4 linked regions of the Alligator mississippiensis genome follow. The protein of the gene in region 2 purifies or fractionates together with the protein of the main gene of each other region. This does not show direct contact. Links are inferred from orthologs where the notes say so. Each region holds a gene or a part of one and is shown on either strand. Other genes may lie near its edges.

Region 1 (7,248 bases), on a different chromosome or scaffold from region 2:
TTATAAGATGTGCAGACAAACTGGAGAATCAAGAGGAGAACAATGAATATTACTAGAGGTCTATAAAACTTGACATACAAGGAAGGGCTGGAAGAATTGTGCATTCTTCTTCTTTCTAAACAGGGGCGGGATTTGCTATAGTCTTCAAATAGAAAGTTTTTACAAAAAAAGTGAAGTGATCAATGGTTCCCTTGTCTTGTCCCCAGTGGACAGAGAAGTAATGGGCTTATGTTGCAACAAGGGATTTTTGGGTTGGATGTTAGGAAGACGTTTCTAACTGTGACCATAATTAGGCACTGGAACAAATGACCTAGAGGCTGCAGAAGCTCAGTCACTGGAGGGTTTTTAAGTGCAGGAGAAAACAAGCATTCACGGCAGTGGCTGAGAGAGAAACAGTATTAAATTTGATAGGGGGGGGGAGGGGCACCAGTTCTCACACCTACCCAACCCCTCTCCCCCACCCAACAACTTGGACTTCTCACTTGAACCTTTATTTTCCCCCCAGATACATAACCCGATTCACCCCCACCAGGGAAGTATTCCTTTAACCTCAGCCAGGTCGAATCAGATGCCAATTGCTAGTTCCCGTAAAAATGCCCCACACAGAAATCTACTAAAAATACCCTAAGTCCAAGTGTAAATGTAAAGGTTACTCAGTCTCTTGTTTAAGGTAAAGTGAGAGAGCAGCATATCATATTTAAGACCTCTCAATACATGCATTTAAGTGCCACAAGTCCTTCCACCTATATGTTTAAATTGCAACAAAATGCACCCCTTTAAAAAAAAAAAAAAAAAATCTTAAGCCGTCTATAAAAAGCCATACATACTCCCTCTCACTTTCCAAAATGTCTCAGTTAGAAGATCATCTCGGAGAAAGTAGACGATGGCTGCATTACGCGAGTCACTGTTAAAGGGAGACTCAACATGAAAATCATCTTTTAAAAGCAAGTTACTGTTCCTCCATGTCTTGGATTAAAAATCCAATTCCCTTCTCGCTGCTCATGTTCCATTTATTCTTTGTAGCCGGGGATAATCGCTTACACGGTTTATTTTCAGAGTCTGAATATTTGAGTTCGGGCCATTACAGGGGATACGAGTTTAAACATAAGCACTTTTTACTGCTCCCTCTCATTTTACATTTTTTCCTCCTCCACGATTGTGAAAACTCTTATTTTTGGTCTTAGGGCTTTCTAAAAATATGGTTTTATGGAAGTTTTCTTTTCTGACCAAAGTTTTAAAATGCCCTAAATTACAAACCCGCTTCATTTCCCTCTGGAATTTTACTGATGTGTTTTTATACAAAATGTTGCACTCCACCCAATCCAATATTAGTGGAAGGATTATAACGCAACATTTACCATAATCCTCTCGAAATTCCTGAGGTTTTTACACAATAGCCACGCTCTACATATCAAACCGTGGGACGCAGTGTTGATATGTGATTGAACATGGTTTTGAAAGGTTGCTACAAAGTATGTAAAATTACTGCCTTTTTTAACCAGCTCCCTACTTTAACCATCTATAGCAAATGGCTCTTTTTAGAAGCCAGCAACGGTATTACACAAAACACTGCTCAGAAGCAGTCAAGACTTAGCTAAATCTCCTGACTTTTCATCCATCAGCTACATTAAAATCAGATCTTGTATAATAAAACCCTGCATCTTTCAAGACACTGTGTCTGTTGTGTCACATCCTAATTGGAATTAAGACTTCATACGCTTAAAAAAAAACAAACAAAAAAACAGGGGTTGTGATGCCAACACAGAGTCCACTATAGTTACAGCAGCGCTCCAAGTCACCGTTATAATGACCACACTGTATTTTCCAATATCCTGAAGTCAGATGTAATAAAAGGCCTATTGTAAAGCAGGAGTCAAGACCCTAACAGGATTATCTTTTAAAACTTAAGTAAATGCATACTTCCCAACCCAGGAAGTGAAAAATCCTTGCAGTTCTACTAAATAATATTATTATTATTATTATTAAGGAAAGTTTGGTCTCCAGCAGATTATTTCGCTGCGTCCCAGTGAGAAAACAAAATACAGGCTCATTTTCAGGGGAGCAGAAACCCCCGCCAATGCTCACAGATGAGCTGAAAGCTATGGGGAAGGAAAAAAACCGCAGACAGAGAGGATATTAACTGAGCTTTGGCATCGGATCAAGACAAAAAAAGAGGGAGCTGTAGCCACCAGACTGCCCTGTGTTCCCAGAGAGGGAGTCCAAACCTCGCTGAACTAAAGGCCTCATTGAAAGCCTCCCAAGGGCTGCAAGCTCCTGTAAAATGGAGCGTCTAGGCCTCTTGCCCAGGCGGACGCCCCCGAGCCGGGCGCTGGCCAGGACAGCGGGGCCAGGGCCCTGCCGCAGCACCTGGCCGTAGGTACGGGACACGCACCCGCAGCCGCCTCCCCTCGCCTCCGGGGTTGCCGCAGCCGCTGCTTCGTCTTCCCGGAGAAATGCCATTTCCTTTGTTTCTGGTGTGGTGCGTGCCCTCCCCACCCAGCGCAGAGGTGGCGGCTGGGGGGGTGGGGGGGGATGTGGGGCTGTGCCCGAGGCGCTGGCAGCGCGCACGGGGGGGGCTCGGCGCAGGGCGAGGGCAGGGTCTCCGCCCAGCCGAGCCGCCGCGGCCCCGCAGCTCCCAGCATCCCGCTGCCCAGCCCATACGCCCCCCACACCCAACCGGCCCCTCAAATACAGCCTCCCCCAAACACCCCTCACACCCACCCTGCCCCCCCCAATATCACCCCACACCCACCCTGCCCCAATATACCCCACCCACCCACAAACACCCCCCACACCCACCCAGCCCCTCGCCAGACAACACCCTGCCCAACACAGCCCCCCGACCAGCCTGCCCCCCCCACACGCACCCTGCCTCCACTGCCCCCCCAGGCACCCCCGCCGGGGCCCGCACTCACCCTCCTGGAATTTGGGCTTGGGGTCCTGCTTGGGCGCCATTTATAAGTGACGCTCCCGCCGCCGCCCCCCGCGGGGCCTCGCGCCTTGCAGCCGGGCCCCCCCCCCCCCTCCCGGCGCCGCTCTGCGCAGGCGCGACTCAGCAGGAGGCGGGCCGGGATTTGTAGTCCGCCCCAGCGCCGCTCTGCGCAGGCGTGGTCCACCAAGAGGTGTGCCGGGATTTGTAGTCCGGCTGGCGGGCCCCGGAGCTGCTCTGTGCAGGCGGAGTCCGCGCCCCCGGCGCTGCTCTGCGCAGGCGCGGCTTGCCCCGAGGCATGCTGGGGCGTGTAGTCCTGGGGGCTCTCCTAGCTAGGCTGCAGGAAGAAGGGTCTGCGAAGTGTGCTGCCTAGTGCCGGCAGCCAGCTAGTGTGTGCGTGCCCTCTGCGCTTGCACTGTGGGTGGACACTGCTCCCCCTGAGCTCCCGGGCACGCTCCAGGGTTGCACGTGGAAAGCCTCGGGCTCCATCTGACCTTGGTTTGTGCCTCCAGCAGGAGTCTGGGCAGGCTCAGCAAAGGTTTGCACGGTGCTTTAATGCCCTTAGGGGCGTGATTCACTGCCCGGGGCTGGGTTGCAAAACGGACTAAGGAAAGGGAAGGGGGAAAAGAGAAGAAAAGCATGCGCCCAACGTGGGGCTCGAACCCACGACCCTGGGATTAAGAGTCCCATGCTCTACCGACTGAGCTAGCCGGGCACTGGCTTGTCCTCTGAAGACACCTCTCCTTGCTCCCTCTCTGGTCCACATGTGCAAGGACATGGGCCAAATTATGGCCCCCTTCAGCACCTGGCAGTCCCCCCACCATTCACCCGGGACAGGGGAAATGATGATGCGATGCCAGGGCGCTTGGCTGTGATCCTGGAGAGCTGTGCTGACCCCTGCAGGACAAAGGCCAGGGTTTTAATTCTCACTGTGTGCGTCTACACATTCATTAATGCACAGTAGTTATATATATATATGTAATATATATATATAATATTTAATATTTAATGTTGGTAAAATTTAATATCATTATATATGTTTATTTAGCTATAGAAATAAATATTTTTTGCAAAAAAAAAATAATGTGCAGCCGTTGCTACACATTTACTTTAGTACTTGCAGTATTAAATGTGCAGTAAATCCAGCTGCTGCACAGTAGCCCTGGCAAATGCCTTTTTTGTAAGGCTCCCATAAGTAACGGAGCCATCAGGGAGGTGTTGGGGCTCAAAATGAAAGGGCTGGGAGGCCAGGCTAGGGATGGCAGGTGGTGGGGCATAGAGACTGGGGTCACGCTGAGCTGCTGGGTGTTCCCACAGCCGGGACAAGGACAAGCCCAGCCCCGGCTGCTGGGCAGGTGGGATCTGGCCGAGCCACGGTGCTGCAAAGGGACGTGGCAGGAGTGTGGTGAGCGCCATGGAGGGAGCGGGAGGCCTGTGGCATTGTTGGGAGGTGAGGTGCATGCCCGGCAGGGCCGTGGCCTCAGGGCTGCAAGGGAAGTGGAGGGGATAGAAGGGGCCCAGGTGAGGGGCTGGGGGGACATGAGGGGCTGTGGAGGGCCAGCCCAGGGGTGCTTCAGGGTAGCACAAAGGGACCGAGGGGTCAGGCGGAGGTGTTGGGGGAAACAAAGGGGTGAGGCTCCGGCTGGAGGGCTCGGGGGTCCGGGCAGGACTGGGAGCAGGTGTGGTGGTGGCAGCAGTATAAAATGGAGGGCTGGGCGGGTGCAGGTACAGCACAGAGGAGACAGAAAGAGCATCCTGGGGGGAATCAAACGGAGGCCGTGTGGGACTCATGGAGGGGCCAGACCCAGGGCTGTGCACTGGTATCAGGCTCGTGATATTTGTGATGTGCTATTTCCTCACCCCTGCCAGTGTCTGACCGGTGCCGACCCACGGGACTATGCCAGGCAGTGAATGGCCTGCTTAACCCAAAGTCTCTACACCCAAAAACAGTGGTTACAGCAGCACGCCACGATAAGTTTGCCACCGGCTTTGCAAATAGTCACCCATATCCAGCCTGGCTTGGGGAGGCCAGGTTTGGGAAGCTCAGTCTGGCCTTGCTTTTGTGGGTCAGGTTAAATTGCTGTCATCTCTGCTTGGGGACGCAGATGGCCAGTTGTGAACTGGAACCATTTCATCCTGGCTTGGAGTCTGGGATGGTAGTGAGCAAGGTAGTGACGGTAGTGAGCAGTAGTGACACCCCATAACCAGCTGGAGGAAGGCCCAGGGCTCTTTCCTCCCGTGCAGCACCAGACGGTTGCACTTCGGGGCCAGCCAGGGCACTGCACAGGGGGCCGGTTCTTAAAAACAACATATGTATCCCAAGGGAGTGCTTAAGGGATAGGCAAACGAGAGGTAGAGGTTGCTATGGGGTGAGCTAGTAATGGGAGGGAAGAAGAGCAAAGCAGGAGGTTCGTGCTGGGAGGAGGAGTGTGTGCGCTGCTGCTATTTGCCTTTTGATTTAGGAGGGGAACAAGTGCCCCTCATGGCTGTGCCAAGTGTTTTTAGCTAGGGACCAGACAGGTTTTCACCATGTTCTCTGCTAGAAGGACCAAGCACTGACCTGTTGTGCCCATGGTGACATGACCAACCCAAAGCAGGCTCAGGAAGCTTGTCCTAATGAACCCCAGTACTCTACAGGAATCGTTATAAGGAAACTTTAATGTAAATCTTAATTTGAGAAAACAGACAGTTAAAAACAGAGAAAGGCAAGCGATGTCTAACCACGACGTGATTATTGCAGCCGCAAAAGGTAAAATGCTCATAATACCTGGAATAGCAAGAAAGCAATCCTGGACTCTTCACAATCAGTAGCAGGTGGTTTACTGATTAACTGCGCTCATGCTAACACGGCCTAAATTATTCCTCCAAAGCATCCGAAGACCTACGGAAGCTCCCACCCCAGGCGTGGGGTTTTGCTCCCCGCCGTCTCCAAGCAGAGGCAGATGTGGGGGAGCGGGGGGGCCCAGGGGGTCTTTCCCCGAGGTTAACGGACACTCCGCCGTGTGTCCCTGGGGCAGCCTCACTGCACTCCCTGCCTCATTTTCTCCTCCAAAGCTGTCCAGCAGGAGTGTCGGACTGACTCTGTGCCTAGGCTGCATCTGGACCCCGGGGCTCCTCAAGGGCCAGGTTGGCGAGGGCCGGATCGGCTCCCCGAAGGCCAGATCGGCGAGGCAGCACTGGTGAGGTGAGCGGTGGAGGCAGCCATGGGTGTCACGCAGCCAGGTAACACCTGAGGCTCAGTCCCCTGGATTGCAGTGGCAGGCCTGCCCCCATGCACCCTGCCCCTCTCCCAGCCCTATGGGTGGATCTGGCCCACAGGCCTTCAGCTCGGGAGCCCAGTTCTGCAGATACAGGCACATGCTGTCTTGGGAGGAACCGGAGAGAGACGCTTGTGGAGAAGAGCTCCCCTTAGGACAAGTCCAAAGTGTCTCTGGGCCCAAACCACATTGCCTCACGAGCAGCGACTACTGGACATGGGCCGCTGATGCAAAGTAAATGTGGGTCACTGCAATTAAAGTATGATGTAGTTTTGGGAAGGAAAGGGGCCCAGGCTGGGACCCGCAAGGAGGCAATATCGGAGCCTAGGAATCCTGAAAGCTGGACACAAAACTGAATGATTGTTCAGAGAAGCAAAGGCTCATGCCGAGGAGACGGCCCCGTGGCAGAGATGGCCAAGCTCATGGGGATGTGCGGGAGTCTCCAATCACCCCGTTACTCCCTCAGGCACCTGAACGGGTAGGCTGCACCATTGGCCTTGCTCGGCGTCAAGTCCAGAAGCAAAGCAAGCCCAGCACGGGGGAGGAAAGCTGCTCAAGGAAGCGAGATGCCTGCTGGGATTGCTGTCACAGCCCAGGGCAGAAGAAGCACGTGGCTGGCTGCTGGCAGCTCTCCCGCGAATGGGGCAGCAGGGGAGAAAGCGCAGAGGGGTTTTCACTTGGTTGCATCCCTGTCACAGAGCCAGCGCTGGCCCATTGCCGACATACAGGCTTCTCACTTCGAAGCCTTTTCCAGCACACGTATGGCGTCGTCAGCAGCATCATTCAGGAAACCCTCCAGCAAGCTGTACATGGTCTTGTAAGAAAGGATGCCTGATACCACAGAACCTAGCACGGGACACACTATGGGGAGGATATTGTTGAAAACCAAAGTGTTTTTCACTGCCCCACCTACTGCCTTGGACAGGAGCTTAAGGACGAGATCTTTTGTGATTTCTTGGCCCAGGGGGGACTTTATCACAGCTCTCAGCTCTTCGATGGGCTTGTTTGTGCGCCTAGCAATCCCGTCGAGGGAATGTTCATCCAGGCCAAAGTCCTGGCAGC
Region 2 (6,942 bases):
TCAATGGTATTTTTATTTTTAGTACATATACGAGAAGAACACCTAAAACATTTCCACTTTTATCCCAGTAAAACACAAAAAAGGCTCAAAACTAAATACATACAAAACGCAGATCAAATAATTGTAGAGAATGGGTGTAGTGTGCTATGCCACATAAACATGGTTATCATTTCACATTACTGAGAACAACAAAAAATACAAAAAATAAATCTATCATGATAAAGTATTTTCAAATAACTTGGTTTTGATTTTTTTTATAGTATTAAACATTTCTAAATGACAACAATGGAATTTAAGCCACTTCAAAAGAGAGAGAAATTATTTTTACTCACTGGTGCTTCTGACATTAGGACAGGATGCAAACTCGCTTCAGATTTAATGTGCATCTTGTACGTATGATCCAGAATTGCCTGGAAACTATCCCAGTCTTCAACTACAAACATTACAGCAGGTGGAGTAGTTCAATTAACAGTGACATTTGACTTCAAGTAAAATGTGTAATAAACACACACAACAGAAAGACATAACTTTTATCAAGAAGATCAAGCAGTAATCAGCAAAATTCACAAACTGCAGCAGCTTTAAGAAATCTTGTTTATATGACTCATCATCATAACAGCTGGCAAGTAGATTTGCAGCATGACCTTTAAGACTGTACTTCACACTATTAGCAAACTTGGTAGCCATCATTAGCAGCTACAAGCTTCCTTACTGGTGCATTTGAAGAGCAAGTCTTCACGCTACTCTTTACGAATATTTGCCACCCTTTTTTTTCCCCAGATGGGGTCTAATCCAGTCCACCAAATACAGGAAAACTCTACAGTTTTTCCTCAGATCAAGCAAACGCTCACTGCCTAACTAAGCAGCTTCTTCATAAAATGCATATATGACACATTACTGTTTTGCATGCAAAAGGCATAACTGCCATAGCCGTTCATTAAGTTAGCTATCAGATCTTAAAAGCAAGAGGAAAAGGATAGAGCACCATACTCATTCCATTTTTTAAGGGCGAAATGGCTTCCATGTTTTCCCTTGGGACGCGCAGTGCATTGGTGTCTATGTAGTAAGTGGGGCCCCCTTGTTTGCCTTTATCACCATCTATCTCCATCAGCGTACTGCCATCGTCCCTCTCCAGTACCACACCAATCGCTGTGGGAAAATCGACCTGAAATGTGAACACACATTTGCTCGCTCATAGACTCATAGAAAATTAGGGTTAAAAGAAACCTCGGGCGGTCACGTCTAGTCCCATCCTCAAGATCATCCCAACCAAAGCTCTGTCTAGCCAGGCCTTAAAACCCCCACAAGGATGGCGCTTTCACCACCTCTCTGGGTAACCCGGTCCCAGTGTCTGACTCCCCTCCTAGCAAGACATTTCTTCCTAATATCCAACCTTGACTCCCCTTGCTGCAACTTCAAACTGTTGCTCTTCATTCCGTCATCCACCACTGCCTACATCAGCAGTTCCCAAACCGACCACCTGTTTAAAACGATGTGCCGCCCACAAATTTTTCAGCTCAACCTTCAGTACCAGCAGCTAACACGTGTCACGTCAACTTGTTATCGTGAATAATGACACGAAGTCATTTATCCCAAAGAGTCGTTATAAGGAATAATCATTTCACAAATAATCACATGAAGTCATTTATCGCATGAAGTTGTAATAGTGAATAAAGGTGTTATAATGAATAATCACATTGTAATAGTGAATAAAGTTGTTATAATGAATAATCACATTACAAATAAACACATGAATTAATTATCCCATAAAGTTGTTATAATGAATAATCACGTGAAGTAATTTATTCCATAGCATCATTATAATGAATAATCATGCAAAGTCATTGTAACGTATAAAGTCGTTATAATGAATCAAGTCATCACAATAAACGTGTCGTGGTGCCAGTGACAGATTTCATAGACATTAGGGCTGGGAGGGACGTCGGAAGATCATCGAGTCCAGCCCCGCGCCCAAAGGGCAGGAAGTCAGCTGGGGTCATAGGATCCCAGCAAGATGAGCATCCAGTTTGCTCTTGAAGGTGTTCAATGTAGGCGCTTGAACCACCTCTGGAGGGCAGGCTGTTCCAGACCTTGGGGGCTCGGACAGTAAAGAGCCTTATGTCCAGCCTGAAACGGTCTTGCAGGAGTTTATAACCATTCGACCCTGTCATCCCTTGGGGCGCTCTGGTGAACAAACGTTCCCCCAGATCCTGGTGGTCACCCCTGATAAACTTACAGGTGGCCACCAGATCACCCCTGAGCCTGCGCTTTTCCAGGCTAAAGAGCCCCAGGGCTCTCAGCCTGTCATCGTAGGGTCTGCTTCCCTGATCTCTGATCATGCGCGTGGCTCTTCTCTGGACTCTCTCAAGCTTCTCCACATGCTTTTTGAATTGTGGAGCCCAAAACTGGATGCAGTACTCCAGCTGCAGCCTCACCAAGGCCGAGTACAGGGGGAGAATGACGTCCCGGGATTTGCATGAGAAGCATCTGCGGATGCAAGCCAGCGTTTTGGTCGCTTTACTAGCCACAGCATCGCACTGCAGGCTCATGTTCGTCTGGCGGTCAGTGACGACCCCAAGTCCCTTTCGCCCGTAGCGCTGGCCAGCCTAGCACCGCGGAGCCTATAAGGATGCTGCGGGTTTCCCCCCCAGGTGGAGAGCCTGGCATTTTTGGGCCCCGCGCCCCGCTGCAGGGCTCCCCAGGCAGCCCCGCTCCCCCCGCGGCGATGACTAGGCCGCGCCGCCCCTCACCTTGGGGCAGTCCTCGCCGGCATAGCCCGCCCGCACCGTGTAGGAGCCGATATCGAAGACCAGCGCCCCGACTTCATCTGCAAAGATGATGAACAGGCATCAATGAGCGCCGCCTCCGGGCGCGGCCGCGAGACAGGGCCCCGGGGCAGCCCGCCGCACTCACCGCCCCCGTACACGCCGCCGCTCATGACCGCCGCCGCTCGCCGGCCGATGCGGCAACAATAGCCAGGCTGCCCCGCGCTCGCCCCAGCGGCTCAACGAAACTTGCTGCCGGCCCCGCCCCGCCCCTGCCAGCCAATCGGGGAGAGCCTGGCTGTACCGCTGAGCGGGCCCCGGGCCGCCAGCCAATCGGGAGTGGCGGAAAGAGGGCGGCAGCCGGGGAGGAGCCAATCCAGAGCCAAAAAAAAAAATGGCAGGAAAGCAGCAAGTGTGGTTGCGGAGCGGGGGGGCGGGGCTGCTTCTGCTCCTCCCCGCCCTGCTGCCAGCACTTTTTAACCCTTCAGCGCCCCCAGTTAACCCTTCAGCTCCCAGCATGGACCCTTCAGCAGCCAACCATTGCTCCTCGCTCTGCTTCTTCCTCCTTCCTTCCCCCCGGCTCCTCTTGTGTCCTCACAGCTGCCCCTTCTGCCCAGGGCTGCTCCCCTGTGCCCACCAGGCTCCCTCAGAGGGCAACCATTGCCCATGGGGCCCTCGTCCTGTGGAGGTGGAGGGGCCCGAAGGGGCAGCCCGGTGCCACGGGCCGGCGGGGTTGGTGGCAGCCTGTTGAGCACTGCACAGGCCGCAGAGCGGCAAGCACACGTTCCCCGGGTGCTGCGGGGCGTGTGGCTGCCGCCACCTCCCTCTGCAAGGCCCCGGGAACACATCCTGAACCGGGGGCACGCAAGAGGCTGGGTTTGGTTTCCGGGTGCAAGCGATGCTCTTGGCTTACGTGGATGTTTGGCCAGCGATGGCACCTAAGGAATGTGTCCATGCATCGCACAACCGAAAAGGAAAGCAAGCAGGCCGAGAGTCAGGATGTGTGCCTTTCTCTGGCTCTGGAAAGTGAGCCCCTAAAGGATGACTTTGTTTCTACTTTTTAATTGGTGTCGTCCTCGAACCCTCAGTTTACACAGACGGCCAGCCTGAGTTTCAGTCTGATTCTGGAGCGTCAATGCCTCGAGGCACCGCAGATTTTATCAATCCAGTGTAAAGCCGCTCCGGTCAGTGGGTCCTGCGGCTGACGGCTGCCTGTGAGGCTCGGGTAGCAGAAGAAGGTGAAATACGGAGGGATGGATTTGGTTTCCAGGTACAGTGCTGCTTTTGTCAGCTCACATGGATGTTCAGCCAAGCTCAGTTCTCTCATAAAGCTTCTCAAGGTTCATTTACCAAGAATGGTTCAAGTTTGCAGATGACACCAAGCTGTGGGGCAGCGGGGTCGCACCTGAAGATAGGCTGCAGATTCAGGCGGACCAGGACAGGCTGGAGAGGTGGGCGAATCAGAACTAGATGAAGCTCAACACTGAGAAGTGTAAGGTGTCCAACAATCCCAACATACCTACATGCTCGGTGGCACCAATTTGACTAGCACCACAACTGAAAGGGACCTAGGAGTAATAATCAACCATTGCATGGACATGAGCCATTAATGCGATGCTGTAGCCAGCAGGGCAAACAATACCCTGGCATGCATCTACCGAGACATCTCATGTAAAAGCAAGGAAGTGATTTTTCCACTGTATTCAGCACTGGTGAGACCACAGCTGGAGTACTATGTCTAGTTCTGGGTGCTGCACTTCAACAAGGACGTGGAAAAACTTGAGAGGGTCCAAAGAAGAGCCACCCATATGATCAGGGACTTGGAAGGCAAACCATATGAGGAAAGGCTGAGGAACTTGGGCCTCTTCAGCCTAAAAAAAAGAGAAGGCTGAGAGAGGACTTGGTAGCAGCCTACCGCTACATCAGGGGAATATATTCATCAAGAGCTCGGTGAACAACTGTTCACCAGGGCACCCCTGGGGAAAACCAGGAGTAATGGCTGCAAACTCCTGGAAGACCACTTCAGGCTCAACTCTAGGAAAAACTCCTTCACAGTCAGGGTGTCCAGACTGTGGAATAAGCTCCCTCCAGAAGTGGTGCAGTTGCCATTCCCTGGAAATCTTCAAGAGGAGACTGGACAGTCACCTTGCTGGGGTCACCTGATCCCAGTTGTCTTTCCTGCCTAGTGCGGGGGGTTGGACCCAATGATCTTGAGAGATCCTTTCCAGACCCTAAAAATCTATGAATCTATGGTACCTAATGAATACATGTATAACAAAATAGTAGCCAAAGAGAAAAGAAAGCAGGCCAAGATTCAGGCAAGCTTTTTACTTTTCTGGAAAGTGAGCCCCTAAAAGATGGCCTTGTTTGTAGTTTTTTATTGGTTCCTCTGTAGCCCTTCAATCAGCACAGGCTATCAGCCTCAGTTTCTGTCTTATTTTAAATTGTAAGTACCTCAAGGCACCGTGGACTTTGTAAACCTGCTGAAGTCAGTGGAGTTATTTTGATTACACTTGGATCATCAAGAGCAGGCTTTGATTCATCATCATTACTTGTAAAGCTCCACACTTGTTCTCTATATCAATAAGTCTTAGTTTACTTGGACAAAAACATAATATGTCATTTTAATCAGATTCTCCTTTCACTTACTATAAAATGGTTATATAAATGTGTAAGTTTACTGATTTCAGAGTTATCCCAAGTTTACACTAGGGCAACATCTTTAGACTCAAGAAGACACCCCTCATTAGATTCAAAGCACCCCTTGGAAATTACCAGGTCATAGCTTTCACTCATTTTTTGACTACAGAAAAATAATAGAGCAATTCTTATGTTGCAAAGAACTCAGAAAAACAACAGCAGATCAGACTGTCTTTGACACTATGGACTCCTATTCAAAATCCCTGGGTTTCTCTTGTTCTCCTGGAGGTGTATGTGCCAGTTTTATGCAGTACAGCGTGCCAGCCTTAAAACAATCTCATGGCACCCTGGTTAAGAATCACTGCATTGGATGAGAAAAGTAGCTAGTCAAGTGTTGGCGTGGACTACAATTCCCAGCCTGCTACACACTGAGAGTGGGCTGGTGACTGACGGCCTCCACTTGCGTCTCCTCCTACACCAGTCACACTGAAATGCAGGGAAAATATTAAAACCCAGCAATAGGAGACAGCTGGAGATACAAAAAACAGCACTATTACAGGAGAACCAGGAGATGGTTGCACACAATAGCTCCTAAGGGTAAGCAATTCCTTTCATTTCATTTGACAAACACTGATTTTTTTTTTCCTGTTTCTTTAATGGGGGAAAGTCATTCATAATTTCAGCTCATCCTCTGGTCATTGAGAAAAAAAAAAAACCGTATACTTTTTTGCTGCAATGTCTTCTTCGACAAAACTGGAAACTGGCATTAGTGATGTCGATGTTGCTGCTGGCACTAGAAATATACATGCAAATCCTGTTTTGCCTTGGCTGTACCATGCAAAACTAGACTGGAGTGTGCCTCTTATGAAACATTTTGAAGATACTGTATTATCATGATTTCCAGCATGTGGCACTAGTACCCAAACTAGGATTGCTGGGGGAGGTAGAGCTGATAGGAATTAAGAGAATCAGTGGGGAAAATATGGAATTAAAATGGCAAAAGATTTTCAATTAAATGTTATTTGTATTTTTCCAGATTACTGTCATAATGTTTCATGGACACCATATAATATGTAACCTTTGCAGAGCAACCATAAAGCCAATCTAGTGGCTGCTAGATTATTTCTCCAGCCTAGGAGAATTGTTGGGTGCTGAAGAGCCCCCAAAATGGCTCTTATGCCAGCTGAAGGTGTGTGGCAGGGGGCGTGTGACTGATGTATGCCTGTGCCTACTTGGTCCCTGCTGCTGTAATGGCCATTGGGGACTGTTGGCAGCCACTGCAAGAAAAGCACAGACCTTAGGCTGTCCTTGCCTGCTCTGGGGATCTCTGTGGTGCTAATCAGCCCATGGATTTGGGAAACACAAAGGTACAAAGTGTGCAGTTTAGGATTTTAAATATTCTTCCACTAACGTAGAGAATTCAGCTGTGGGTATGTGCATAATTGCATGTATTTAGATTGCAAGTGCCTCAGGCTAGAGTTGTGTAGTCTTATCTTCCCCTGCTCTGCAATGGTCCTCAGCATCTGTGGAAAGGGGG
Region 3 (7,546 bases), on a different chromosome or scaffold from region 2:
AACACAACCTGCAATGAAACTTCAAAGAGAGAAAAGAAACAATTCACCTAGGGTGAAACTGAGTCGTAATATAAAAGAGTTACAGCAAAAATAGAACTTTGTATAGAGGCAGGACTTCCCTTTATATGCTGTAAGAATTTATCGTGTTTACCTCTCTCCATTGTGGCAGCAGCCCTTTGCTCACGTGAAGCAGCTTCTCCATGGGGCAGTGGCCCAGGGCGCCTTCCCCGAGAAGCAATGCTTTTTTTTTTGAATGAAACAAACTTGAATAAGTGCTGAAAGCGCCTGTAGTGGGCTATGCTCTGCCACTTGCATCGGGTGTTTGATGCCAGGCTCACTCACACCAACTTCTCCTTGTATCTTTTCTCCTGCATCCTCCTCCTCTTCCTCCTGCTGCTTAGATTGCTTGATTATTTTCCCCCCCAATTAAGAAAGAATGAAAAGCACTTACAAGTGCAGAAGTCTGAAGGGGAGTAGGTTAGAGGTGCCAATCCAGTGGTCTCAAGTCTCCATTGAACTTACATGGAGGAGCTACAGCTACTTTTCTCCTGTAGCAGTGAATCATATTGCAAGCCCTACTCATTAGGTCTGATTTGGAGACGAGTTTCAGCTCCTAAAACTATTCATGCTCTGTATATATAAAGTTTGAATACCCAGACTTCGTATTGATAGAACAGATTCCACCCACTAGGTTTATATAACCCCTCCCCTACTACCCCGCTCCTTTTTTTAATTTTAAATGTTGGCTTTAAAAGTAGCTGGCAGTGCCTTGTTAAGTCTGTCTACCTATTTTATTTAAAGATTTTAAAATCATTTTCATCTTCTTGCATTCTCCTGTGATTTCAGTTAATGATGAAAGTGTGTATGTTTTGGTGAGCATGTGAGGCAGAAAATACAATTTGTGATGGTGCAGGATAAAGGTTTTATTACCACGAGTAATCAATGGTTGCATTAATTGCAAGTGGTGAAGCCATGAGTGAATAGGTTATTCTAAACAAGAATCTATAATAGCTGATGCAGCATACCAGATCCTTCTGTATTTTTATGATGCATGCATTCCTGGGACAATATTTTAGAAATGTTTGAGGTAAAACTTACTATTTGTATGCCTTTGCCAGTAAAGCTAGATGCCTTAGTTGCCGATTAGCTGTATTCTGCAATGCTCTGATATTGCAGAGCTGCCCTCTAGCTGTGTAAAAAGACTCTCAAGTGGCATAACAGTCCTGTAGATAGATCTGTGCTGACCATTGGTATATGAGATGTGGCTGGGAAAAGCAGGCAGTGTGGGTTTCTTATGGCCAGCTTATGGGCCCCCATGCCATTGGCTATACTGTCAGTCAATTTGGGTTGTTGGGAGTTGGGACTGGCCCAACACCTACATGACTTAAGGTTCAAGGAAGCACAGATATGGCTTAGAACTATATTTTCAGCCTTCTCCACTGCCTGCAGCTCAGGGGCCTATGAGTCAAACAGTACAGAACCCTGAGAGACTCATTAAACTCACAGAAATGACCTACAACAGCTTTTTGCTTTACCTTTAAAATATTACCATTTGATGGTACAATATCCTAGGACTTTGCATGGTTGGATGTCTCACCTTTCCAGAGCACAGCTCATAGGCCTTCTTTGACTCTGCAGGCATTTGGGATACGTTAACTTATTTATTTTTCACATATAAAAAGCTGTCACTGTTCTGAGACAGAATGATACTTATTTTGGGTCTCTGGCTAATATGCTAAGCATGCAAATATTTGGTTGAAATTTGCTTCATAGTAAACAGAAGAACCACCAACATTGTGTGTGAGGGCTGGCTGTACACCTGAACGCAAAGGTGTAGCTTGTGGGGAAAAGAAATAACTTCTGGAACAATATACAGTAACATAGTATCTTCTGAAGGTGCTGGGGGTAGGGGGATGGGGGAGGGCAGAGTATAAATGATATATAGAGATGGATTAATGGGAAGAGTATAGGTGAAACAACCAAAGGAGTTTGATATAATCCTCACACATGTAACTGCAGTTCATCATAAGATTCCAGAATGAATTATTATATATAGCATCTAGGTGTCAACTTTCTGTAGGCAGGTGGGTACCACAAATATAAATAAATGTTATGTGAACAAATCCATGACCACCTGGTGTCCCATGGTGGTAGTGTTTAAGTTTCCATGGAAGTAAGATTTTTTTTTGTGAGGATGGAGACAGAGCCAATTACCTCCCACAGTTTTAGCTACAGGAGTGGTTCTCAGCCTTTTTAGACTCAGTGAACCCCTGATTAGGCTCAAGGCACCCCTCTGTAACTTTTGCAAAGTGAGTGGCACCCAATTTCAAAACCTACTGTATTTATTTCAGTACTGACCTCTGTGCAGAGGGGCCAGGCAGTGTGGATGGGGGTACAGCTAGGCAGGGAGTTTCCCCGTCTGCTTATCTTTTCACGCCTCACTGTCAGTATATCCTTACACTTCCTATGGCATCCCAGGGTGTCCTGGCACCCTGGCTAAGAAGCAGGAAGCTAACAATCTCTGCCAGCAGGATAGGGCTTATGCCATGCAGTGAAACAGTTATGATGTCCTCTACCTTGGATCATTGGTACACATACACATTAACCTGTTCGTTTCTGTTTCATATATATCACTTGCCCATTTACAAACGCTTTTAAGTTTGTGGATGATCTTCCTTGCAAGCCAAGCATAAGAAGCCTGTTGTACTCAGTGTTAGCTGAGTGCTTACTATATTTTATAGAATCATACAATAACACTTACTTCCCATGACTATGTTTTGGGATGTCCCAACAGCTTGGAAATGCTGTGATGCATGAAAATCTGGGTTCTGTAGAGAAGTGCTTTTAGCCAAAAGGCTTATGAGGAAAGAGTAGATCACCTTCAGGGACAGAAGGTGATCTACTTAGATGAAAGAGTAGATCACCTTCAGGGATAGAAACTTGGCACAGTAATTTGTTTAATCTGTCAGCTAATGAGGCAACATTCTTGAGAAGAGGGACGGCAGACACATTTGAAAAGACTTGATCTAGCTTTTTTGAAACAACCCTAGGGCAGGGAAACAAATGTGTACTCCATCGTCTCTTTATTTGACTCCATCCTTCCCTCCTTGTATCTCCCCTCTTGCATCTTTATCTTGTTTGCAGCAACTTTTTTTTCTGCTCACCCCTTACGTCGAAAAAATTCCAAGGTATAAAAAAATAAGATTTGTTATAACCATTTTGGCCCTTTCTTAATTCAGCTCAGTAGTCCAGAACTGCTGCCTCTACTTATTTTGCCACCTGAATATATAATGAATTATTGATACTTCCATTGTTACTCTGGTTGTCTGAATGATTATAATCAAATCTTTATTCTTTTCTCCCTCATGTTGGTACAAAAGCAGTGTAACTTCTTTGATTTCACTTGAATTTCTCTTGATTTGTGATCTTCTGTTTACACCAAAATCAGGCCTATGTTTCATTTTTTTGAGGGTCAGAGGATGCCTGAAGGGAAAAAAGACCTTTGAGGTAGTGAAGTTTTGCATGAAAAAACCCTCCACTAATATCAAACCAAACTTTGTGGGTCTGATTCAGACTTTTTTTAGGTCAGATTACACTGGTGTAACTTCATAACTTTAATGGAGTTGCCTCTAAGATGCACTGAGATCACAACTAGGCATCTTGCGAACCTCTTAGCTCATGTTGGATTATTCACTTGCAAAGTCTTAGTTACAGGCAAACCCAGACTTCCTGGAGTTTGGTGACTCTCCTGTCAGTCAACTTTAACGGCACCTCATCTGCTGCAAAACTACTGGCCTCCAAGTTACTTTGCCACCACAAAACTAGGCGTCGTAAATATGAAAGTTAAAAGCCTTCCTCCTCCCTTTCTCTGCTGAAGGATCAGATGACTTGGTCTCAACATGCTAGCCCAGGCGATTAACTTGAGAAGTTGCTTTGTGGGAAAAACAGAAAACAAGCAGGCAGTTGGTTTGGCCACTGTGCATTATGTAACCAGTGCACTGGCTGCAGGAGCTGGATGACTGACATTGAGAAATTCCTAGGGGAGGGGGGAGGGGGTGCAGCCCTAGAGTCACTGTGAGCACTAGCATTTCCAAGAAGCCTAAAGAGGAAAATGGCTTTCAAGAAAGGGAAACACATTGGGGAATAATAATGAAAAGCTTCAGGATCTAATGCGGAATCAAATGTCAATACCCATGTAATTTATTTTCCTGGTGAAATGGCATGCATCCAATCCTGGCATGTGAAGAAGGGGGCATGCCATCTGGGAAATGCAAGGCAGCGACAGCAAGGCAAAGAGACAATGAATGACCCATGCTTTATCCCCTACTCCTCTCTCTCTCTCTCTCTCTCTCCCTCTCTCTTCTTTAAAGAAACAGTGAGATAACTGCAAAAAGTCTTTCCCTCCTCCCACTCACCCCCCCCTCACTCAAATTCGGGGCGGTGACAGCCCTAGGAGTGTGAACTGCCCCTTTAAGACCTGCTCTCTTCCAGTTCTACAGAAAGGGAGTGACCTCTGGGCTTTGACAGCTCCCCTAATAACTAGCAGAGACCGAGCTCCGCCCGCGGCCCCTGATTGGACCGCGGGCCGGTATCCCGCGCGCGGATTGGCTGGCCGCTTCCCCTGAGCGAACCTTTAGAACTCCGAGGCACAATATTCTGTTACATTGTAGCAAAATGGCGACTGTCATTCACAACCCCCTGAAAGCGTAAGTAGGAATCAAAAATGTACATATTCCGCGTGGTTTCAATATGAAAAAAGGCGCCTTTCCGCCGCTCGCTGCCAGCCGGAGCCGGGCGCCTGCAGCCTCCGCGCGGCTCTCCCCGGCCGCCCTCCTCGCTCGCACCCACTCTCTTTTTGTGCCCCGCGCGCGGGCGCCCGGCGCTGAAATTAACGAGAAGAAATTGTTATATTTGTCTCCTTAATTGGCTCGGGGGGCTGGAGGGGAGGGAGGCGGGGAGGGTGGCCCCGGTGCTGCCTGGCAGATCTCCGGGATGCGCGCACCTGGGAAACGCCGAGATCCCGGAGGACCCGGCGGGGCTGCGTGCACTTGCCAGTGTCCTGCGCCCGCTGTCTGGGCGCCCGGGGCCGGGGGAGGAGGCTGGGCTCGGAAGTCGGCTGCGGCGCCGCTCGGCTTCGCGGCGCTGCCACCCGAGCCAGGACTTTTCTTTCGCAACTGGCGCGGAGTTGGGACGAACTTGGCGGAGCGGGCTGGGAGCGGGCCGCAAGGCCGGCGGCGCAGATCCCCGGGGGCGGGGGCACCGCGGCAGTGCTCCGCCACGGCCGGCCTGACACGAAATGAATGAGCCGGGTCAGGGCTGGCCGGGGCACGGCAGGAAGTGCGGAGCTCTGCTTTGCATGTGAGCGCCTTTCGCTTTGACAGGGGCCCGCGGGGCTCGGCTCTGTTTCCGGCTCGGGAGGGACCCGCGGAGCCCCAGCGTGGCCGGCTCCGGCCGCGGGGGAGCCCGGGCGGCTGCTTGCTAGGAAACGAGAGGCGGAGAGTCGGGGGCAGGTGCCTGCGCGGCACAAACCCGCGGGGCTGCCCGAGCTCCAGGGAAGGCGGCTTTAAAGCAGGAGGGAGGGAGGAAGGAGACACCAGAGCAGCCGCCTTGCCCCGGATCGCGTCCCTGCTTTCCCGTCTGCCGCTAATCCCCGACGGCATTAGGGACAGTGGGGTTCGCCCCGGCCGTGGGGAGGCCAGAGGCTGCCTTAGCCCGGTGGAAACCACTTCCCTGCCCGCTCGTGGCACCTGGCGCGGGCGCCCTGGAGTTTTTAGCGATGCGATTGCGGCGCCCTCGCAACTCCGCTCCCTCGCAGCCCCGTTGGAGACGCAGCCGGGGGCTTTTCCAGGGATTCCCCGCTGCTGTCCCCGAGCGAGCTGGAGCGGGGCACGCAGCCGCCGCGTTTACCTCTCTCCATTGTGGCAGCAGCCCTTTACTCACGTGAAGCCTCCTCCCTACGGGGCAGCGGCCCGGGGCGCCTTCCCCGAGAAGCTGATGCTTTTTTTTTTTTTTTTTTTGAAAGAGAAAGAAACCTGAATAAGCGCTGAAGGCGCCCGCAGTGGGCAGTACTCCGCCACTTGCACCGGGTGCTTGATGCCGGGCTCTCTCTCATCAACTTCTCCCCGTGCCCTTTCTCCCGCAGCCTCCTCCTTCTCCTCCTGCTGCTGCTTAGAGCGCTCGAGTATTTATTTTCTCCCAATTAAGAAAGACAAGACAAGAAGAGTTAGATCGTGCGCATTCATTGTTGGCAACTTAGGTGCCTGAAAACAATCTCGACTATACACAATACAGGTTGTTGGGTCTGTCTTTGCCCCTCTCTGCGGGGGAGGGGGGAGCTGAGTTTATTTACACCCTTATGGAAATATGAAGAGTTGGAAGGTTGGGTCTGGTTCCCCTTTTGGGAAAGTCATTCAGGCGCCGCTGCTCTTACGGGCGAGCTGCCGAAAAGGGATTTGAACCTTACTGTAGAGAGAGAGAGAGAGTGTCCGCGCCGGGCTCCCCTCCTGCTTTCGTGGGGGCCAAATGGGGATAACTCCGTTCAAGTCAATGGAGGAAGCCGGCGGGAGAGTGCAAGAAGAACGGGGGCATGGTACGAAGGTGTCACCCTTACTGCAAGACGTGATTATGGACCATTAGGTTGCCCCCAGATATATTTGGGGCGCTCATTACCTCCACACAGTAATTTCTAACATCAGCTGATAGATCCTGCCAATGTTTTGTGTGCACTTACATTCTTTGGGGGCCTAATCCTGTTGCCACTGAAGTCAGTGGGAGCAGGGTTGGACCCTTTATAATTAGCTCTTCCCCCCCCCTCCTTCCCCTGGGGTGAGAGGAGAGGAAACAATAGGCATCAAGTGCAGGGTTTGCTTTTCTCTGTATGCCTTTTAAAGTATGAACACTGTGCAGAGGGAGCAGGATTGGAGCGGGCCGTCTGACACCATCTGTCTTTTTTATTAACTTGTTTAATAAAACATTTTATAATTTTCATTTATTCTTTAAAGTTGCTGATCAGGAAACAATACACATGTAAATAAATTATGCATGGGATAAATTAGGACAAAAGCAGTAAGACACATAATAGGGGGGAAAGGATGCAGTGCACAGTGTTTTAGCCTCATGTGTCCTTCCTGACAATGAAAGGGAGCTGAATGACATTTGCATTTCCTCCGTCTGCGTTTTGATTGTGTCTCAAAACCCACAGACGCCCCCTACAGAAACTGGCCACACAAAGGTTTTGCTCTGCGATAGGGGACAATGTAGATACTATAGGCTGAAATCCTAGCTCAGGTATCATAGAATCATAGAAAATGAGGGTTGGAAGGGACCTCAGGAGGTCATTTAATCCACCCCCCTGCTCAAAGCAGGACTGTCCCCAGCTAGATCACCCCAGTCAAGGCTTTGTCTAAGCTGGGTCTTAAAACCGTCCAAGGATGGAGATCCTATCCTATATATTTTATGCATTTATCTACGAACAGTGTTCTATCTTCAGCACAAAGACACATGGGTTACTCTGTTTATTGGAGGCTAGTCCTTGTGGGATAACATA
Region 4 (7,112 bases), on a different chromosome or scaffold from region 2:
AACAACCCCAAAAACCCTTAACAACAATGCTGTTTTCCCTTACCTTCTTTTACAAGGATTAATGCCTGAATACTGTAAAAGTATTGGTTTATTTTCTATGCATCTATTCACTATTACTTTTCATACTTTTGCTCCTTTTATTTTATAAAATTTGCTTTGGCCAAGCAGAAGGCTGTCTTACGGCTGTGAAAGGTATATGGTGTTCATACTGGACCACCTAAACAAAGATGGCCTAGGGATCTGCACAGGTGTCAGAATCAACAACAGTAAGTTTAGAAAATTGTAACGTTAATCTGGGAAACTGATCCTAGAGCAGAGTTCTAAATTTTATCAAAAAAAATCAACATTCAGTAGGAGTATATAGCAATGGTTTATGCAAAAGGAACCAGTACTGTATTAAATAACATACATTTTTAAGAAATAATAACATTGAAGAAATGATCAAAATTTAAATACAAAGTTGCAGTTGTACACTTGTAAGACTAAAAACTTGATCTAGTCATTTTGCAACAGATAATATGCATGGCAATTACAGCTTTCTACATTATATGCATTTATATTCATAATTCATACATATGGAGAGAGCTTTTGGAAAGGATCATTTGAATTTAACATACACTACCACTCATCATCTGAGCAAAGATAGCAAAAGGTATATTTCTACATTATTTGCGATCTAAAAAACTGAACCATAGTTGCTTTGTGTCGTGCTTCACTTGCACAGACTGCAGTGCCTTCTGTCTACTTTAGGGTGTGGCATCTGCCATTGGGGAGGAAAAACTGGCATGTGTTGCCTTTTATAACAGACTGATTTCATTGTGCTGAGGGCCTCTATTTTATAGCCTTTTAGTTCCAATCTTGTAGCTGACTTGCTGAAATAAATGGAAGGACACATTTTAGTATAAACTTTTCAGTGCTGAAGAGTCCTCACTTTTTTTCCAGGGAAAATATTTTAAAAGTAAATCTGTGTTAAACTTTGTGGCTTATTTTCCTGTTCAGAACTAGTTACCAAGTAAGTCAGAAAGTATTGTAATCCTCAAGTGAGCTACCTTCAGTACATCTTATCACATTTTTATATATACCCGTATACACACATACACACTTTTACATTAATGTCTAAAAGCATAAATGTGTAATTGATTTTGTATTTGATTTTAGAACACACACATAAATAAATAGACACAAGTAGACCTCTATATTTATATTTGCATATGAAAGACTTCAAAAATCAACTTATGTGGTTTAATGTGTATAATTAGTGTGTGTTTGAATATGGAAAAGAAGAAAATCCAGGAGAAAATGTCAAAAAGGCTCACTAACAAAGATGTAGTATTCTCTTGGCAAAAGCTGATGAATGATTTGGCATGAATTCATCTTACAGTTCTGTTATTCTCTTTTCTACAAAGATGATATACCCTCTTTCTCGCAGTTTGCATAGAATTGCAATTTGTTGTTGTTGCAGGCTGTAATGACCCTTGGGTATGCACCTGATTCCCCCCACTAGAATTACTCACCAATTTTTTCCACACTCTCGTTTTCTGCTAACCGTATAACATTTCTACACTTGCAGTACCAAAAGAAAAAAAAAAAAGCAAGGTTGGATGTAGCTGAAATACAAGTGTTATCAACACATAGTTGACAAATTCTGAGACTTGCAAACTAACTTCATAATGGAAGTCCTAATATTTTCTGATTTTGCTGCACAGCAGTTAAGAAGTCAATAAACACCGGACATGCGTTGTTCATACATGTTTCAATAATCTTTGAGTGTAAGTCAACATTATATCATGAAGCTTCTGTTTTTCAATGTTTTCACAATGGACACAATATGCCTTCCTATTCATAACACTGTCTTCCAGAAAATACAGCTGTTTAAAACATTGTGATAAAATATTTATGCCAAGTAATGAATTTAAATCTTGACAAAATAACATTAATATCCTATTTTGCTGATGTCCGGAAAAAGCTAGTTGATTTTCCCCCTCATTTTACCAGTTAAATCTTGCATATGACTGTTACCTTTATGTATATCAAGTTATTACGTGAATCAAAGCAGTTATTTAAAAGAACTAACCACCAGCACTTGCCGAAAGGGCTACTATATAAATGAAAGTCATTATTATTAATGTAACAGTTTAATGCTGAGTAAATGTTGCTTTGCTCACACACTGTACTTTATATTACTACATTTCCACTAACATCTAGCCTATCCTGGAATAATGTTTGTGGATGTGATTGTAACACTGAAAATGTTTTACTCTCTTTAAGTCCTCTTGATCTGCATAGAAATACAAAGGATGTGTTGAAAACAGCCCCAAACCTAACAGTTACATTAAAGACATAATTAGTTCAAACAATCCCTAGGATTTTGAGCCAGCCGGACACTAGAGACAAGTGCGAAAATGCCCGTCGCTGAATTTCACATTGTATTTTACAAACCTCTGCACACCAAAGACATTGTTGTAAAATCGTATTTTATTTTTTCATCAAATCATCACAGCCAGTACACTGCATTCCTCTTAAGAATAGCAGGAGAAAGCTTTTGAACACTGCAAGGTGGACTCAGAAACAGGTTAGAGGTTTGGCAAATTTCACTAGGTTTTTGTTTTTCTTCTTAACCCAAAAGTATGCAGCACCCACAAGGTGTTTGGGTTGTTCTCTTGCCCCACTTTAGCTCCCAGACTACATTTGACCAGGACCCAAAACATACTTAGGAGGAGAGCTAAATTCCTTCCTGATGGAAGTGCTTTCTATTCTAGCTGAGTTTTATCTGTGCTGGATTTGACCCACGGCTGCCTAGTTCTTGGCTTTTGGATTTAGAGGAACTGGAGCATCAGTTTCATACACGATTAGGCTCTGTACAAAAGATGAGGGAATGAACTGGACCAAGTGAGTTTTCTCCCCACCCTCTCTCTGACACTAGGGTCACCCCTCTAGCTCTGTATCTCTCTAACACTAGGGCAGTGGTTTCCAACTTGTGGTCTGCGGAGCCCCGGGAGCCTAAGGGGTCTGTAAAAGACGACTACCATCAATTAAAAGTATTAAGAATACCTGCACACTTACAATTCAAAGGAGTCCGCATCTCCATTCAAAACTTCCAAAGGGGTCCGTGCCTCCATTTGAAATTTTTTATCAGTCTGCAAATGAAATAAAGGTTGCAAACCTCCGCAGTAGGGTAACCTCTCTCTCTCACGCTAGGGTCACCTCTTTCTCTCCCTAACACTAAGGTTACTTTTCTCTCTCTCACACTAGGGTCACCTATCTCGCTCTCTAGAACTAGGGCCACCTCTCTCTTTCTATAACACTAGGGTTACCTTGCTCTCTCTCATTATCTCTAACACTTGGGTCACCCCTCTTTCTAACACTGGGGTCACTGCTCTCTCTCTAGCACTAGGGCCACCTCTCTCTTTTTCTCTCTATAACACTATGGTCCACCTTTCTCTCTCTCCAAAACTAGGGTCACCTCCAGTGCTGTAGCAAGGGATTGGTTGAGTGGGGTGGCCACCCCAGGCACCAAAGTGACAGGGATGCCAACAGGCCCTGCCTAACTGGGCCGGGGGTGGGACAGAGCCACAAACAGCTCATGGCGGGGAGGGGGGGCATGGGGACACGGGGAGGGCAGCTCTTGCTGCTGCATTCGCTCCTCGGCAAGTATGAGGGGACATGTGCTTCCTGGATCTGTGCATGAGACAAGGGCGGGCTGCTGCTGTGGGCTTTGCCCCACGTGCCAAACTTCTTTGCCAGGGCCCTGGTCACCTCTCTCTGTTATGCTGCGGTTACCCCTCTCTCTCTCTCTCACTCTAACACTAGGGTTCCTGCTCCCTCTCTGTCTCCCTCTCTCTAACACTGGGGTCCTTGCCAGGCAAAAAAAGAAAAAGAAAAAGAAAAAGAAAAGCGGGGAGCCCAACCTTCCCCAGAAAGGTGCGGGACTCCCGAGGTAGCCTCCTCTCCTCTCCTGCCCTCCCCGCGCGCGGCGGCGGCGGCTGCGGAGCAGGAGGGAGGGAAAGTCCAGTCCGCGTTTTCCAGGCGCGCGGCGGCAGGCCGAGAGAAGTGGATAATAGTTGTCGGAGCTCGCTCTCTCTCTCTCTCGCTCGCTCTCCCATGCCATGCTGGGCCGGAGCGGCTCAGTCAGACGTGTATTTCCCCATATCCGGGTGAGGGAGGAAAAGGCAAGAAAAAAAAGTTTCATTTAAAACCCGAACCAACAAAAAAAAAGGAAAAAAAATCCCCCCCCCTTGAAAAAAAAAAAGAAAGAAAGAAACCCACCACCACCCCCGCTTGCTTCCAGCAGCAGCAGCGAGGGAGGCAGCCGGAGCAGGCACGGACCCACGGCCGCCCCGGACACGCGGGGAGGGGAGCTGCGGTAAATTTCGCGTGTGCGGCGGCGGGCGTGTGCGGGTCCCCTCCCCGGAGCCCGTCTCTTTCCTCTGCTGCGTTTTTTAATTCTTCTTCTTCTTCTTCTTCTCTGTTTTGTGCGGCTCCCCCCCCCACCCCTCCTCCTCCTCCTCCTCCCCGGGCCTCGCAATGTTGCCATGATCATGGCCGCGCAAGTGGCAGCGGCTCCGGCGGGGGCGAACAACAGCAAGGGCAAAGCGCCGGGCTTGCCGGGCAGCCTGAGCCAGGAGCGCGGCGCGGCGGCGGGCGGCGGCGGGGGCTCCATGCTGGGCGCCGGGGACGGCGGCGGCCTGGGCAGCGTCCTGCAGCACCGCGCCGAGCTGGGCACGGCCAACAACGCGGACAAGGACGGCGGCGGCGCGGCCCCGATGGACGCGGGGCTGCTCCCCAACCACAAGCTGAAGGGCGGCGAGGCGCTGCACCCGCACCATGCCCTGCACCATGCCCACCACCACCACCACCACCACCTCGGCGCCTTCCCGCCGCAACAGCAACAGCAGCCGCCGCCGCCGCCGCAGCAGCAGGCGGCGGCTCCGCACCATGCCATGCAGAAGAGCGGCGCTGCGCAGCCCAGTGCAGACATGGAGCAGCAACATGGAGGCAAGGACGGCGCGGGGGGCGCCCAGGCCGAGCCGCCGCCGCCCCTGCTGAGCAAAGGCGGCCCGGAGGAGGAGGAGGAGGAGGAGGAGGAGAAGCTGGGCGAGCCGCGCTACGAGCACCCGGCGCTGGGCGCGCAGCAGCAGCAGCAGCCAGCGCCGCCGCCGCAGCAGCCAGCGCCAGCGCCGCCGCCTCCCCCCGGCGCGGGCAGCGGCTTGGGCGCCGACTTCAGCGCCTACTTCGGCCCCGGCGCGGCCCCGGGCAGCGGCGGCGGCGGCAGCAGCTCCGCCGCCGCCGGCCGCGCCGGGCCTTGCTTTGATCAACATGGCGGACAACAAAGCCCCGGGATGGGGCTGATGCACCCCGCGGCGGCCCCCAGCGGCATGGACCCCCTGCACAACTCCCATGAGGGCTTCGCCAACAGCCAGTACAACCACTACCCCGGCTACGGCCGGACCGGCGGCGCGGCGGCAGCAGCGGCGGCGGCGGGCGCGGGAGGAGCCAGCGGCGCGTATGCGGGCTCGTACGGGGTGCTGAGCTCGCCCCGGCAGCAGGGCGGCGGCGTGATGCTGGGCCCCGGCGCGGCGGGCGGCCTGGGCAAGGCGGCGGCGGCGGGCGGCGGCTTCCAGCGCTTCTCCAGCCAGAGCCCGCACCCGTCCGGGGCCACGCCGACGCTCAACCAGCTGCTCACGTCCCCCAGCCCCATGATGAGGAGCTACGGCAGCGGCTACGCCGAGTACAGCAGCCCCGGCGCCCCGCCGCCCCAGCCCCAGCCGCAGGCGCAGGCGGCCGCCGCGGCCCCCGGCAGCCAGCAGGCAGCGGCGGGCATGGGCCTGGCCAAGGACATGGGCTCGCAGTACGGGGCGGCCAGCCCGGCCTGGGCAGCGGCGCAACAAAGGAGTCACCCGGCCATGAGCCCGGGCAGCACCGCGCAGCCCCTCAGCAGGACCCAGGTAACCGCAGGGTGAGGGCCAGGGGTGCCCTCCCCTCCCCTCCCCTCACGCGTGTGGGCGGGCGGGCGGGTGGCAGGAGCCCCGATTTCTTTGCCGGGTTGGTTGCTTGTTGCTCAACTCTATGGCAAGGGGGTGTCCCCATGCCCGCCTCTGGCTAGGCCGGGGAGCCTCTGGGGTGGGCTGGATGTAGGCCGTGGGCTGTGTCGCTTTTTTTTCCAGCTTATTTGTGCCTCCCCTCAAGCCCCCAAGCCTTTGCCGTCTGTTTTGAGCCAGGGATTGCAGGGCCCCAGTCCCAAAGTGGGGTGGGGAGGGTGGGAGAAGGGATGCAGAGGGAAGGTGCTGCTTTTCTGACCACTCCAGCAGCGCCTGGGAGCGGATATTGATCAGTCTCCATCAGGATTTTTTTTTTTAAATTTGTCTCTTTCTCCCCCCCCCAACCCTCCAGAGCAAAGAGCTCTGTCCTGCCTTTTTACCCAGATGAGTTCATTGTTGGGAAGGCGCTCCAAACACTGCCAGGTTCCTTCTGGCGGCTCGAAACGTGCGTGCCGTAGTGGCGAAGGGTCCCCTGATCCGCCCCGAGATCCGTCCTAGACCTCGCTGGTGCGCGCGTGTCTGCTCCCCGAGACAAGAATAACCCGTTGGTAGAAGTGCGGGGGGTGTTTGGAGCAAGCCGTGCCCGTCCAGGCATGCATGGTCCCCAATTAGAGCAGCAGAGTCCTTCCTTTGTAGAAACAGGCCTAGCCCCTGAAAGCCCTGCTTGTTTGGACGAATGCAGGCGACTGATTAGCTAAATCCAATATATTACTAAATCAATAGATAGCAAATGATTGTTGGATGCTCTGTATAGCTGGCTATTTTTTTTTTGTCCTCCTCCAAAGTCAAGGGCTTGATTAGAAAGGGCTTTGCGCTCTTGGTGTTTCTTGCTAGCAGTCTGAACCTAAAGAGTGACTTGATCTCCTTTGCAAGGTTTGGAATTTGAATTGTGGAGGTAAACTGGCTGTAATAGTCTCCAGACAGCTGCCTCTGAGTTGACATCTAATCTGCCATCTGATTGGCTCCTCTCTCACCATTGGGCATTTAGCACTGCTGATGTAAATAGAAGTGCTGAGCAATACAGTCACAAAAATTCTTGCCACAAATAATAACTGAGCAGTAGCGCTCACAGAT

The links.
Region 1: the proteins of ACTL6A (region 2) and MORF4L1 purify together in Homo sapiens (affinity purification with mass spectrometry; 6 studies listed by BioGRID and IntAct, with this or other methods). This does not show direct contact. The link is inferred for Alligator mississippiensis from reciprocal best matches to the Homo sapiens genes ACTL6A and MORF4L1.
Region 3: the proteins of ACTL6A (region 2) and DPF3 purify together in Homo sapiens (affinity purification with mass spectrometry; 4 studies listed by BioGRID and IntAct, counting the BioPlex papers as one, with this or other methods). This does not show direct contact. The link is inferred for Alligator mississippiensis from reciprocal best matches to the Homo sapiens genes ACTL6A and DPF3.
Region 4: the proteins of ACTL6A (region 2) and ARID1B purify together in Homo sapiens (affinity purification with mass spectrometry; 5 studies listed by BioGRID and IntAct, with this or other methods). This does not show direct contact. The link is inferred for Alligator mississippiensis from reciprocal best matches to the Homo sapiens genes ACTL6A and ARID1B.

The regions. Positions count from the first base shown.
Region 1 is NC_081834.1:2,028,424-2,035,671, reverse strand, and holds the start of MORF4L1 (mortality factor 4-like protein 1), read right to left. Parts: upstream 3,018-7,248; 5' UTR 2,956-3,017; coding exon 2,916-2,955; intron 1-2,915. Other genes in the region: interferon-inducible GTPase 5-like, read right to left, coding at 6,920-7,248. UniProt on the Homo sapiens protein: Component of the NuA4 histone acetyltransferase (HAT) complex which is involved in transcriptional activation of select genes principally by acetylation of nucleosomal histones H4 and H2A.
Region 2 is NC_081830.1:80,466,120-80,473,061, reverse strand, and holds the start of ACTL6A (actin-like protein 6A), read right to left. Parts: upstream 3,023-6,942; 5' UTR 2,939-3,022; coding exon 2,914-2,938; intron 2,828-2,913; coding exon 2,751-2,827; intron 1,166-2,750; coding exon 991-1,165; intron 434-990; coding exon 333-433; intron 1-332.
Region 3 is NC_081825.1:235,931,509-235,939,054, reverse strand, and holds the start of DPF3 (zinc finger protein DPF3), read left to right. Parts: upstream 1-4,540; 5' UTR 4,541-4,674; coding exon 4,675-4,706; intron 4,707-7,546. UniProt on the Homo sapiens protein: Belongs to the neuron-specific chromatin remodeling complex (nBAF complex).
Region 4 is NC_081824.1:135,152,881-135,159,992, forward strand, and holds the start of ARID1B (AT-rich interactive domain-containing protein 1B), read left to right. Parts: upstream 1-4,110; 5' UTR 4,111-4,532; coding exon 4,533-5,945; intron 5,946-7,112. UniProt on the Homo sapiens protein: Involved in transcriptional activation and repression of select genes by chromatin remodeling (alteration of DNA-nucleosome topology).